3 linked regions of the Macaca fascicularis genome follow. The protein of the gene in region 1 purifies or fractionates together with the protein of each later gene. This does not show direct contact. Links are inferred from orthologs where the notes say so. Each region holds a gene or a part of one and is shown on either strand. Other genes may lie near its edges.

What was found.
Region 2: the proteins of KCNQ1 (region 1) and NEDD4L purify together in Homo sapiens (affinity purification with western blotting, with the first as the bait; 3 studies listed by BioGRID). This does not show direct contact. The link is inferred for Macaca fascicularis from reciprocal best matches to the Homo sapiens genes KCNQ1 and NEDD4L.
Region 3: the proteins of KCNQ1 (region 1) and AKAP9 purify together in Homo sapiens (affinity purification with western blotting; 3 studies listed by BioGRID and IntAct, with this or other methods). This does not show direct contact. The link is inferred for Macaca fascicularis from reciprocal best matches to the Homo sapiens genes KCNQ1 and AKAP9.

The regions. Positions count from the first base shown.
Region 1 is NC_088388.1:2,508,367-2,512,012, forward strand, and holds part of KCNQ1 (potassium voltage-gated channel subfamily KQT member 1), read left to right. Parts: intron 1-1,210; coding exon 1,211-1,306; intron 1,307-3,560; coding exon 3,561-3,646. UniProt on the Homo sapiens protein: Pore-forming subunit of the voltage-gated potassium (Kv) channel involved in the regulation of cardiomyocyte excitability and important in normal development and functions of myocardium, inner ear, stomach and colon.
Region 2 is NC_088392.1:22,722,466-22,726,834, forward strand, and holds the start of NEDD4L (E3 ubiquitin-protein ligase NEDD4-like), read right to left. Parts: upstream 2,828-4,369; 5' UTR 2,703-2,827; coding exon 1,551-2,702; intron 1-1,550. UniProt on the Homo sapiens protein: E3 ubiquitin-protein ligase that mediates the polyubiquitination of lysine and cysteine residues on target proteins and is thereby implicated in the regulation of various signaling pathways including autophagy, innate immunity or DNA repair.
Region 3 is NC_088377.1:129,251,991-129,255,636, forward strand, and holds part of AKAP9 (A-kinase anchor protein 9), read right to left. Parts: intron 2,152-3,646; coding exon 1,969-2,151; intron 961-1,968; coding exon 760-960; intron 1-759. UniProt on the Homo sapiens protein: Scaffolding protein that assembles several protein kinases and phosphatases on the centrosome and Golgi apparatus. Required to maintain the integrity of the Golgi apparatus. Required for microtubule nucleation at the cis-side of the Golgi apparatus.

The sequences.
Region 1 (3,646 bases):
GTCCCCACTGGGGTCCTTGCAGGCAGTGTGGGAGGCAGCCTGGAGTGGCTGTGCATAGACACAGTGTGGGACAGGCCTGCTTACTCAGCCCTGGGGGGTGGGCAGTGCTGCTGCCGCACCCCATGGAGGCAGAATCTTGTGCCTGGAGAGAGCACTTCCACGCTGTGGCTGGCCGGGGAGGGGGTTTGTTCCATGGCCTTTCCAGAAACCACAGATTGTTAGGTGATGTGTCTAGTTCCCAGTGCCCGTATGTGGGTGTATGTGTGTTATGTGTGTATGTGCATATGTGTTTATGCTGTGTGTGTATAATTTTATGTTACTTGTATACTATGGGTATGTGTATATGTATCGCATGGGTGTGTATTGTACCGTATATGTGCGTGCATACTGTGTATACGTATTGTATGTGCATATGTTGTATTTAGTATGTGTGGTGTGTTGTGTGCACATGTATGCATTATACATGTATATTAGTATGTTTGCATATGTGTATGTATCTGCGTTTCACAGGTATATATACTATACATCTATGTGCTGTGTGTGTGTGCACATGACATATAGACATGTTTGTGTTTGTGTTAGTGTGTGTGTTTGTGTACATTAGTGTGTTAGTGTTTGTGTGTTAGTGTTTATTAGTGTTTGTTAGTGTTTGTGTGTGTGTGTGTTAGTGCGTTAGTGTGTGTGTGTTAGTGCGTGTGTTTGTTAGTGTGTGTTAGTGTGCATATCTATTGTGTGTGCGTGTGCGTCACATATGCATATGGACCACGTGATCCCCTCTGTAGACCGGGAGTTCTCTAGCTTCTGGGTGGGTCCTTTGCATCCCATCAGCCGTCCTTGGGCAGGGCGGCAGCAGTGGTGACTGAGAAGGGCCGACTTCTCACTTGCGACCCCCATCCCAGTGGTATGACCCCTTCCTGGGTGCATACAGATGGGCCAGCCCACCTGGCCCCCAGAATGGTCCCTGGGAATGGGTTAGAGAGGCTCTAGCCCCGCCCCATGGGACTGGGCCCCTTGCTGGGGCCTGGGGTATAAGTTCTGCCCCCCATGCTGGCCCAGGACAGGCAGGCTGGGCCCGAGGTGGGACTTGGGGAACTTCCAGCACTGACCATGCCTGGCCTTCCCACAACTGTGACTGGTAACCATGTCCTGAGGCTGCACCCAGCTGGCAGTGGCCTGTGTGGACGGGACCCTCCTGTCCATTCCTTCCCAGGGGATTCTCGGCTCGGGGTTTGCCCTGAAGGTGCAGCAAAAGCAGAGGCAGAAGCACTTCAACCGGCAGATCCCGGCGGCAGCCTCACTCATTCAGGTGCGGTACCTGCAAGGCCCTAGTCACTGACATTTTGGTCACTGTTATTGTTGCGTCCAGCCCTCATGGCCACCTGTCGGAACCACCATTGGCCCCTGTGTCCGCTTGGCTGGCCTGTGGGGCATACCCTGCTTGTGGAAGCCTTGGCTTCTCTGGTGATGGGGTGAGCATGGGGCGCTGGAGCCTGTCTTCCTCCAAAGCCACTCCCATCAAGGGCCATACCCTGTGGGCTGGAGAGGAGGCACGGCCATGGCCATGCCAGGAGTGGACGTGGTTGGCTCTGAGGCTCCCTTGCGCTCCCATTCTCCCTCCCATTGCACAACAACCTGAGGGCTGAGTCTGGGAGTGGCAGAGCCAGGTGATTGTCCCCAAGGGAGGTAGGACCCAGCTGTGCAGTTGGTGCCTTCTGGAGGGCCTGGCATCCCTCAGGGCTCGGGAGGCCCTGGTGCCTGGAGGTGAGGGCTGGCGATGGACGGCATGGGCCTCCCTCTGGGCTCACAAGGCCAGTGGGTAGGGAAAGGCAGAGCCCTGGAGCATCATGGGCAGGAAGGTCCTGGAGGTGGGTGGGAGGCAGGCAGTACCAAGCTCTGGGACGCTGGGCTCTGGCTCTGTCACTCCAGGCTCTCCAGGACCCACCAGAGAATGGGACTGCCCTGTTAACATAAGCAAGGACTTAGCACAGAAGCCACTTGAGAATTGCATCCCTGTGGGTCTCTCTTGTTGGCCACCGCAGGGCCAGGGCTGCCCTGAGGAACAGCTGCTGAGGGGCCCGGAGGGTGGGCATTGCTAGGTTGAATGACAAGTGCCCGCTAGGGATAGGGCCTCTGCCCAGTGCATTGGCTGGGAGCAGTGTCAGCTCCTCTGGGCACACTGGGCCTGATGTCCCCCAGGAAGGCCCAGGGCCTGGGCAGCCCCTGCTGGCTGGGATGCCCCCTGCAGGCCTCCTGAGCTTGCTGCCCCAGGCAAGGCCCAGGCTATCAGGAGCAAGTCGCAGTCCTGCCAGGCTCCTGGCTCAGCTATCGGGGGGCTGTGAGCTCCCACCCTCAGCCTGACTTCACAGTTTCTCCTTCCCAGGATACCGTAAATCAGGCCCGTAAACCCACCTTGGTCCCAGCGTGAGCATGCTGGCCACCCACACCCAGCAGGGGACCACATTGGATTCCTAGTCCCACTCCCTGGGAACCACAGGTCCTGTGAAAGGGGGCTCCCTCGGAAGCTGCACACACTGTGGGAGGACTGGAGTGGGGGCCCCAGGTGACAGGCCTGCACAGGAGCAGGGCAGGGGTTGTGGGGTTTGCCAGGGTTGGGGGACCACGTGGAGTGCTCGTCCTGTATGTGTGATGCTCGGGCCTTGGAAGGCTGGGCTTGTGCCCTTGCCTGCCTGTCCCTGGGTGCTGGGTGGGAGTGAGGGCTGCAGGTGCCCCTCGCCAGCTGCTGTGTCTATCTGGGACTATCACCCAGGAGCCCACCAGTGTGGGGACACATTCTCCACTTGGCCCTCTCTCAGGCTCATGTGGCCAGTGATGACAAGGCCACCAGGATGTGTCCTCAAACAAGGCCCTGGGAGCCCCTCCTGCCCACCTGGACGCTGCACAACTTCCCCCCGCCAAGTCCCCTACCGATAGTGTCCCCTCCTCCCACTGTTCCCATGTGGTGCTGCCATAGGGTCTCTCTGAAATGCTGGCTTCAGAGCTGCACCCATGTGCCATCAGAGGCTCCCCCAACTGCAAGGTGGCACTCACAGGCCTCTAGGAGAGACCTCACCTCCTGTCAGCCCAAGGGACCCTGCCTCTCCCTGCCCCCTGTTCAGTACCTGCAGGTCCCGGACGACCTCTCTTTCTCAGCCCTTCCTTACTGTGTGGCCGCTGGTTGCCTATTTCTGCATTGGTCTCCTATGCACGCTGTGCACCCTGGCACCCGGGGACGATGTGCGACCTGCCCACCTTTGCGAGTCTTGCCTTTGGCTCAAGGCTGGCTCAGGGCCGGTAAAGCCCTTTGTGGTGTCCCAGCTGTGGGTAACAGTTGGCCCAGGCAGCGGTGAGCTGCCTGGTACAGCAAGGGACCAAGCCAGGTTGCCTGGGCAGAGGGTCTGGGAGCTGGGACCACGTCAAGCCTGTGACTCTGAGGTCCCAGACCCTGCCACCCAGAGGGGAGGGGGTCCGGCCTGGGGAACAGGGAGGGAGAGCTGTAGCTTCCATAAGGGCCCCCACTGGGTGGCTCAGCAGGTGACAGCCTCTCCCCTGACCGACCTCAGACCGCATGGAGGTGCTATGCTGCCGAGAACCCCGACTCCTCCACCTGGAAGATCTACGTCCGGAAGCCCTCCCGGAGCCACGCTCT
Region 2 (4,369 bases), on another chromosome or scaffold:
TTACCGAACAAAGCCTACAACTGTCATGATGGTAACTTGTTGGGGTGGGGGTTAAAGGCTACTATAATATCAAAACTCTGTCAAAATTTGTACCATTGTGTAATATATGGTATAGGTTCCGACCAAGGCAAAGCACTTAGCTGTTTCCCAACAGAAGAGTTTGAGATAATGAAAGAAAGGAGATACATGGAAAGAAAGAGATGAAGAAAAACAAATTTTCATTAAGCATCTGATTGTATCTTCAAAATGATGACAACCAATGATAGAGGAGTGACAAAGTTTACTTAAAAGACGAAACGTATTTCTGAACACAAAGCAATAAAAGACAATACAATTCTAGAGTAATACTCAGACACTCACTTTTCTAAATCACTATTCACAAGTGAAATCCAAACAAAAAGTCCCCTAGACATTTACTAATCGTATCCTCAAATTGGCAGTCACATGAAATTCAGGAGAAAAAAATATCCAATTCAAAATATAAGGAGCTTGTTCTTTAAGAGAAAGCACTCACTGGCTAGTGGTTACTACTAAAAGAAACCGAACTGATTAAACTTTTCATCCCACTCTACGAAAGCTGCAGAGTCATCATATGCCTGGTCGGATGGAGTGTGCAGCTGTCTCCCTGTACTCCATTTCACTGAAAGGGAGCGATCAGGAACAGAGAAACAGGAAGGCCAGAATCTGTTCTAAGGCGTCTATTTCCACAGCTGGAGACAGGGTACTTACTATTCTATATACAGCATCCCCGGCTTGGACACTCAAGTGGACAGTGTTAAATTGCACGGCATGCCATCTGACCATTAATGAGTCCCCGTCAGTTTCCCCTAGCCTTGGGCCATAACCCAGTTGTTTTAAAAACACATCTCTTAGTATCTCAGTAGTGTCACTTGTGGGACAGTAATGTCGCTATGCCACAAGTGACACTACTCTCGTTCAGTATTACTTAATGGGACAAAAAAATAAAAAACAACAAAAAAACCCAAAGCGAATTATATAACAACGACTGACCTGACCCCCTCAGCAAAAAGGCCATGACAAATAATCATATTTCACCAAACTTTACATTCACCTTCTTTAACTATTAAGAGACGAAACTCAGGTCCTTTGCAATATCCTCACCTTTCCGAGAACTGATTGTTTTTAAAGTATTGTCGCAGGTTATATTTGCAAGCAGCTTTTTAAATGCATTTCCACCATCAACATGTTGGGGCACTGACTTGGTTTTTGGCAGATTAAAGTAATAAATTTTATTCAAAATTCTTCTATTCAGAAAAATAAAAGCAGGGGGAAGGTATTCTGCTTGGATTTCCCAAACAGACAAAGTTGGTTGACTTTGAGGACCTACAGAAGACATTTGCAGAAATGGTGTTTTGCGCACCAAACTCTGGACCACAAATCATCGTGCCAGAACTCGGCCAAACATTCAGATCCGCTGGCCTGAAGCAGGGAAACTCCCGGGACAGAGGGTGAGGTTTATTTTGGTTACGCCGCAGAGTAAGCATCGAAGTTGAAATCAGTAAACACATGTAAACAAGCCGTGAACTTACCGTGGCGTCAGCTCCCGTGGAAACAGGGCTTTTGGCGCTTTTCTCCTCGGGATTCTGGGGAGCTTCTTCCGGCCCCCGGGTTACAAGAATTCTAAAATGCTGCTGCCCCGCGTTCTGATCCTGCCTGATCTTAAATGTGCACCCCTGGCCCTGCGGAGTCCTCTCTGCGGAGTTCGTCCTGCGGATTTCGGGAGCCATCCTGCCAGCCCGAGGCGGTGCCTCCGGGGCTCCCCGATCTTCCGTGGGGCTCCCTCTTTCGCTTCGGGGCTGCGTGGGGTACGAGGTGCTCCTCTCCAGCCGAATGCGGGGATACCTCACCAACCTGTCCCCCTTTGTGCCCGTGAAGCCAAAGTTGAGGTCACTGCCTGACCCCAGAGCGCCTTGCTGGGGCTGCTGCAACTGGAAGACAAAACACCGCTTCCCGGAGCTTCCAGAAGCATCTGGAACGTGCTGCAGGGACCAGCGCCTGGGCTCTGCCGCCGCTGGGCCGCCCTGGCCATCCGGGCCGAGGGGCAGCAGCCTCACCTGGCGCACGTCGGCGCTGGAGGCGCGGTGCTGGATGCGCAGGCCCGGGGCAGCCTCCTCGGGGCAGTCCACCGGGCCAGGGCACCGCACGCGGCGGCGGCCGCCGCACGTGCCGTTGACCTGGAGCCCCGGGTCCCGGGCTGCCCTCGGAGGGGAGTTCCCGGGGGTGTCCCTCGGCGAGGGCTCCCGGGAACCGCTCTGGGGCGAGGCCCTCGTGGTGGCGGTGGCGGTGGCGGTGGCGGAGGCCTGGTCCCCGGGGTCCGGCGTGGTGCACGGAGGCCCATCGTCGGCGCCCTCGGGCGGCCCGCACCCATCCGTGGCCCCGTCCGCGGCCTTGCGCTGCAGGGAGATCTGCACCGAGGAGCTGCACGTGGGGCGGGCGTCGATGCTGGTCAGGAGCTGCGGGATGAACATGGACGAGCTCCGCTTGAGCGCGCCCACGCCTCCCTGCAGGCCTCCGTCGCCATCCTCCCCTACGTTCTGGGCGAAGGGGTGCGGGCTGTTCCTCCGTGGTAGGGTGTGGAATGCCATGAAGAAGTCGTCTTCTCTCTCCTGGTCTAGGATCTCTGATTCGGGGGCTGTGTTGCTGCGACCAGAGCCAAAATGAAACCGAAGCCGATGGGCCATGGTGACCAGGGGGGCCAGGAGGGCGAGGGCGAGCGGCAACAACAGGCCCGGCACTGCCAGAAGTCACAAACCAAAGACACAAACTCCAAGAAAAAGTGTCCCATCTGCCAAACTGTTAGCACTGCGGCACCAGGAGCGACAGATAGCAGAAATAACCCAAGTGGCAAGCGGCATTCCAGGCATGATTGGATAAGAGCAAAAAGCTCTCATCCACACTGTGACAGAGGGTAGGGTGGCCAGAACCACATGACCGCGCTCTCCCCCTCCAATGCCAGCTTCTGGACTTAGAGGAGTTTTCCCCCACTCGCTTTTTTTTTAAACGGCAAGAGCCTGAAACAGCACCTTCCCAGCTGCTGCTTTTCCATCAGAAAGGAGTGGCCCCAGCAGGGCGCTCTCACAGCTGACTAAGGCAGCAAACACACTGCAAGCCACGCTGCTATAAATCTAAACCACATCACATTCACAGGGCATTTCTTTCCCAATGGAGCACAGCGCTGGGACTCTGTCTAACCTGTGCAGGGACCTGGCATGTTTAACAGCACACACGGTATTTCCCCACCTCCCACCACACATGGAATAACGACAAGTAAAATATGGCTTGGCCACCGGGTAAACCCCTTCCCAAGCATTGGATACCATGTTTCTGTTATTTATGACATCACTACACTACCAGGATGGAATGCAAACTAATAAAACAGTACTATAAATACGATTACACACCCCACAGAGTTAGTGTCCGTTTAATGCTAAATAATTAGACCAGGATCTACAAGTAACAAAATAGCTAAAGGGAGGGGAGGGAGCGCGACGTGCTACACACCCAGTTGGCCTCCTGCTATCACAGCATTTTTCATTTAAAAGGTGTATACGTGTGTGTAGCTCACACATGACTGGCAGACACCAAAGTACCAGAGAAAAGGAACCCAGCTGGAGAAAACATTGTCTCCCATATGCCAGGTAGGAAAGAAAACGTCAACGAAAAAACAAACAATAACAACAAAAAACAAAAGGAAAATTGAAGAAGGGAGTGCATGTGGATTTTTTTTGTGTGTGGTAATAATTTAACTTAAATACCATGCAGAAGAAATGCTGCCTAGAGCTGACTGCTCTCCAGTACGAAGTCAGCAATATTACCACAGTTGGGACACAAATATGGAATCTTGCCATGTTTGCAAAGGACCAAAAAAGACTTAAGAAATGGAAGGAAAGGTGCACAGTCGAAAAACTGTCCTCAGATTTGTAGTTAGCTTGGAAATATGCTGTATTTTAAACTCACTATTTTCTATGATCCAGAAACACCAATTAGTTAACAAAGAGGTTTATTTAGAGGGGGTGAAAAAATAGGAGGGGAAAATACCAAGCTGCAAGAGTGACAAAAAGTTTATTTTAAAATCTGCAAAGCATGACTTTGTCAATAGCCCTAGCATCCAGGGTGTGGTGGATTAACCCTGTGTTTACATACATCCAAATCTGTTTTCTAAAAGCATGTGTTTTAAATGCCAAAAATGACCTCTAGAGAGAAATGGAAGCTAGTCTGTGTAATGCTAGAACTTCCAAGTACTACCATAGCCACATATTGTCTCCGCTGGGTTAATAGCCAACAAAGAAAAACAAAACAGCAACACCAGCATTCTTTGCATAGTAACCACACTGCAGATGGCCTGGGG
Region 3 (3,646 bases), on another chromosome or scaffold:
CTATCCCTTCAGAGTCATAAACTGGAATAAATGTTCCAAAAGTTTTTCTTTATGTTTTGAATTTTATGTTGACTGATTAAGGTAGTTTTAACAACATTCATTATTAGTCACTAGGGAGGCTTTCAGAGGGCTTACCATTTTACAGAGTATGATGCTCTTACATATAACATTCTTTTGGTCTATTAGGGACGAAACCAGGGAAAGTGGAACCACGAGCCCAGGATGCTGTCACTGTGACCATTAATAGAGGTTAATCTGGTCCCAGTCCTGGGCATGCCTTTCCACAAACCTCTGTGACCTGCATTCATGACAAAGACTGAATAAAGAGACCTAGAGACAAAACCTGAATACCATCTATTTTTTTTTTTTTTTTGAGATGGAGTCTCACTCTGTCACCCAGGCTGGAGTGCAGTGGCGCAATCTCGGCTCACTGCAAGCTCTGCCTCCCAGGTTCATGTCATTCTCCTGCCTCAGCCTCCTGAGTAGCTGGGACTACAGGCGCCCACCACCACACCCGGCTAATTTTTTTTGTTTTTGTATTTTTGGTAGAGACGGGTTTCACCATGTTAGCCAGGATAGTTTTAATCTCCTGACCTCGTGATCCGCGCATCTTGGCCTCCCAAAGTGCTGGGATTACAGGCGTGAGCCACCGTGCCTGGGCCTAAATTTCTTTAGTCTATTTATTTAAGGTCAGTGAGAGATGAAAGAAGGCAAAAACATAGAACAAACTGTGATGTTTAGATGGGAGATGTCTCCTACCTTTAAAGTGACATGTTCAGAATCAGGGCTTAGAGTTTGAAGTAAAGAGTCATTTCTTAGTTCAGCTTTCAGTTTGTATACTTCAGCCTCTGCCCTTTTCAAAGATTTCTGGAGAGTCAATTTTTCTCTGTTCCATACCTCTTTTTCAGAGGCAATGATGGCTTCAATGTTGGCACCACCATTCAATGAAAACCTGGAAGACTGCAAAGACCACAGACTACTTACATGATTTTTAAGAACAAGTCTCTGAAGAAAAGTCTGAGCTAAACATATTAAAGATAGCTCAATGATGGTGCAGTCTCAACTTTCTGACCCCACCTAGACAAAGTTCAAAGCCAATCTTAATTGACATTATGCATATACACTAACTCTAAGTACATGGTCCTTTGCTAAATACATTAGTTTTACAACTAAAAGTCCTTGAGAAAGCCTGGCCACAGGGAAGGTTTAGCAGATTAGCAGAGCTTTGAACTAAAAACATCAAGAGACCTAACAGACCATTTGGGTCCAAATTTTGAGCCTGTGCCTGAAATAGTGTATTGGAGAAGTGGGAAAAAAACAAGCCAGTATGTACATAATAAGTGGATTTCTATAAAAGGCACATAAATGTGTTATCATGTATTTAACCATACAGTTGTCTTACAGGTCTTTTCTATCTTTATATTGGGTGATTATGGAAACTAGCAATTAATTTTATACCTGTTTTTAAATGGAAAAATTTTAAGTAAATTCTCAGCGTAATTTATCAGACTGAAAGACATAATTTAACAGCACCTTCTATTTGAGTCATGAACACAATGACTGATAAGTGACCGAAGAGAACAGTCAGGATTCACATTTGAACATTTTGTGTATCTGTTGTTGGTGCCTAGGTAGCAAAGTATCTGGCTTTGGAGATACATGTATCTTGGTTTGACTACGACTTCAGTTCAGTTTTCTCAGGTATAAGGTGGATGCGGATTAGACATTCTTTATGTATACAACTCAGAGTCGAGTACAGAGATGGTTTCCAATAAATAACAGTAATTATTAGTAACTTAGTAGTAATAGTAATATTATTATTGTCATCCCTATAAAATTTTCTACAGATCCTACTAAGAATCAGGTACGTGATAGTTTTACATTAACAGGATTAAAACTTGAACTAGATAGCAGAAATGACAAGCACGCACGAATTCTCATATATGGAGATGCTAAAAATGGACATACATTATCTCTACCAGCTCCTGTCTGTCGATACCACCTGATCTGCTCTTCCAGCTTCATAACCATGTTCCTTAAGTCATTCTTCTCTTCAGTCAGTTGACTGATATGCCCTGTCAGCTCAGCATTTTGTCTCAGTAGTCTTTCAGTCAAGGAGCCACAAGAAGTACTTGGGGACACCAAGCTGGGCTGGAAAAATAAAATGGTGTAAGGTCACTTAAGCACAAATGGATGTGAATAATGCATATAAAGGGTGAATAGGCACCGAGAGCAACAAAGTTCATGAATTGGTGCTTGAGTTGAGTCTTCAGTAATAGGTAGATATTTACCAGGCAGAAAAGATAAGGGCACATTAAGCAAAAGGCGCACAGGCTTGAGCGAGTGTGTATTCCTTTCGGGGTGTTATAGGTTGCCTGTTAAGTCTAGATTGCTTTACTTTATGAATAACAGACCTAAATGTAGGCAATGGAGAGTCATGAAAGGCTTGATGCAAAAATACGACACAAAATTTATGTGTTGGAAAAATTCCTTTGGTAGTAATGTACAAAGCAGGGGAAATTAGGGAAGATATCTTCGTGTCAGGTAGACCTATCAGCAAGTTGTTTCAACAGCCAGGTAAGAAATGCTGAAAGCCTGAATGGAGGCAATGCCTAAGGGACAGAAAGTAAAGGGTGTGCGGGAGAGGTATTTAGAAGATAAGAGGGACAGGACTTAGTGACTATCTAGACGTGCAGGGAAGGGTGAAGGAAAGTGGTCTATGGTGACTTCCAGCTTTCTAAACTGGGCGGTATCATGACTAGAAATGAGGGTCTGGAGCAGGAAGGAGAAAGGGAAGACGGAGTTCAGTTTGGAATGTGCCTGTGAGGTTCCTATAGGGTCACTATGGGGTACATTTCCCTAAGGAAAAATGTCTAGTAACTAACTGAAAATATAAGCCTGGGCCGGGCGCGGTGGCTCACGGCTGTAATCCCAGCACTTTAGGAGGCCGAGGCGGGCGGATTATGAGGTCAGGAGATCGAGACCATCCTGGCTAACACAGTGAAACCCCATCTCTACTAAAGAATACAAAAAATTAGCCGGGCCTACTGGCGAGTGCCTATAGTCCCAGCTATTCGGGAGGCTGAGGCAGGAGAATGGAGTGAACCCAGGAAGCAGAGGTTGCAGTGAGTTGAGATTGCGCCACTGCACTCCAGCCTGGGTGACAGAGTAAGACTCCATCTCAAAAAACAAAACAAAAAAGAAAATATAAGCCTGGAACACAGGACAGAGGTTTAGACTAGAACCACAGTCCACTAAAGATAAGCTCCATAAGGATGAGGTTTTAGTCAGATTTGTTCACTGTATCTCCAGAACCTATCTGGCACTTATCTGGCACACAGTAAGTGTTCAATATAAGTATTTGTTTAATAATAAGTCTAGTGAGAGCTCAGGGTGTTGGACTGTGTGAGCTTTCATAGTTATAGGTTACAGAAAAGAAGGAAGAGGGTAGGAAGAGGAACCATAAAGGTAACTGATGAAAGAAGCAGAAGAAATGTTAGAATACTGACATGACACGCAAGGAAAGAGAAGGTCTTAAGAAAATAAAAGAGATCAAAAGTATCAAATGCTACAAAGAAGTCAAGAAAAAGACTGAAAAGATTCACCAGATTAGTCAATTGTTTAGACACTGGTAGGCGTCTAAGGG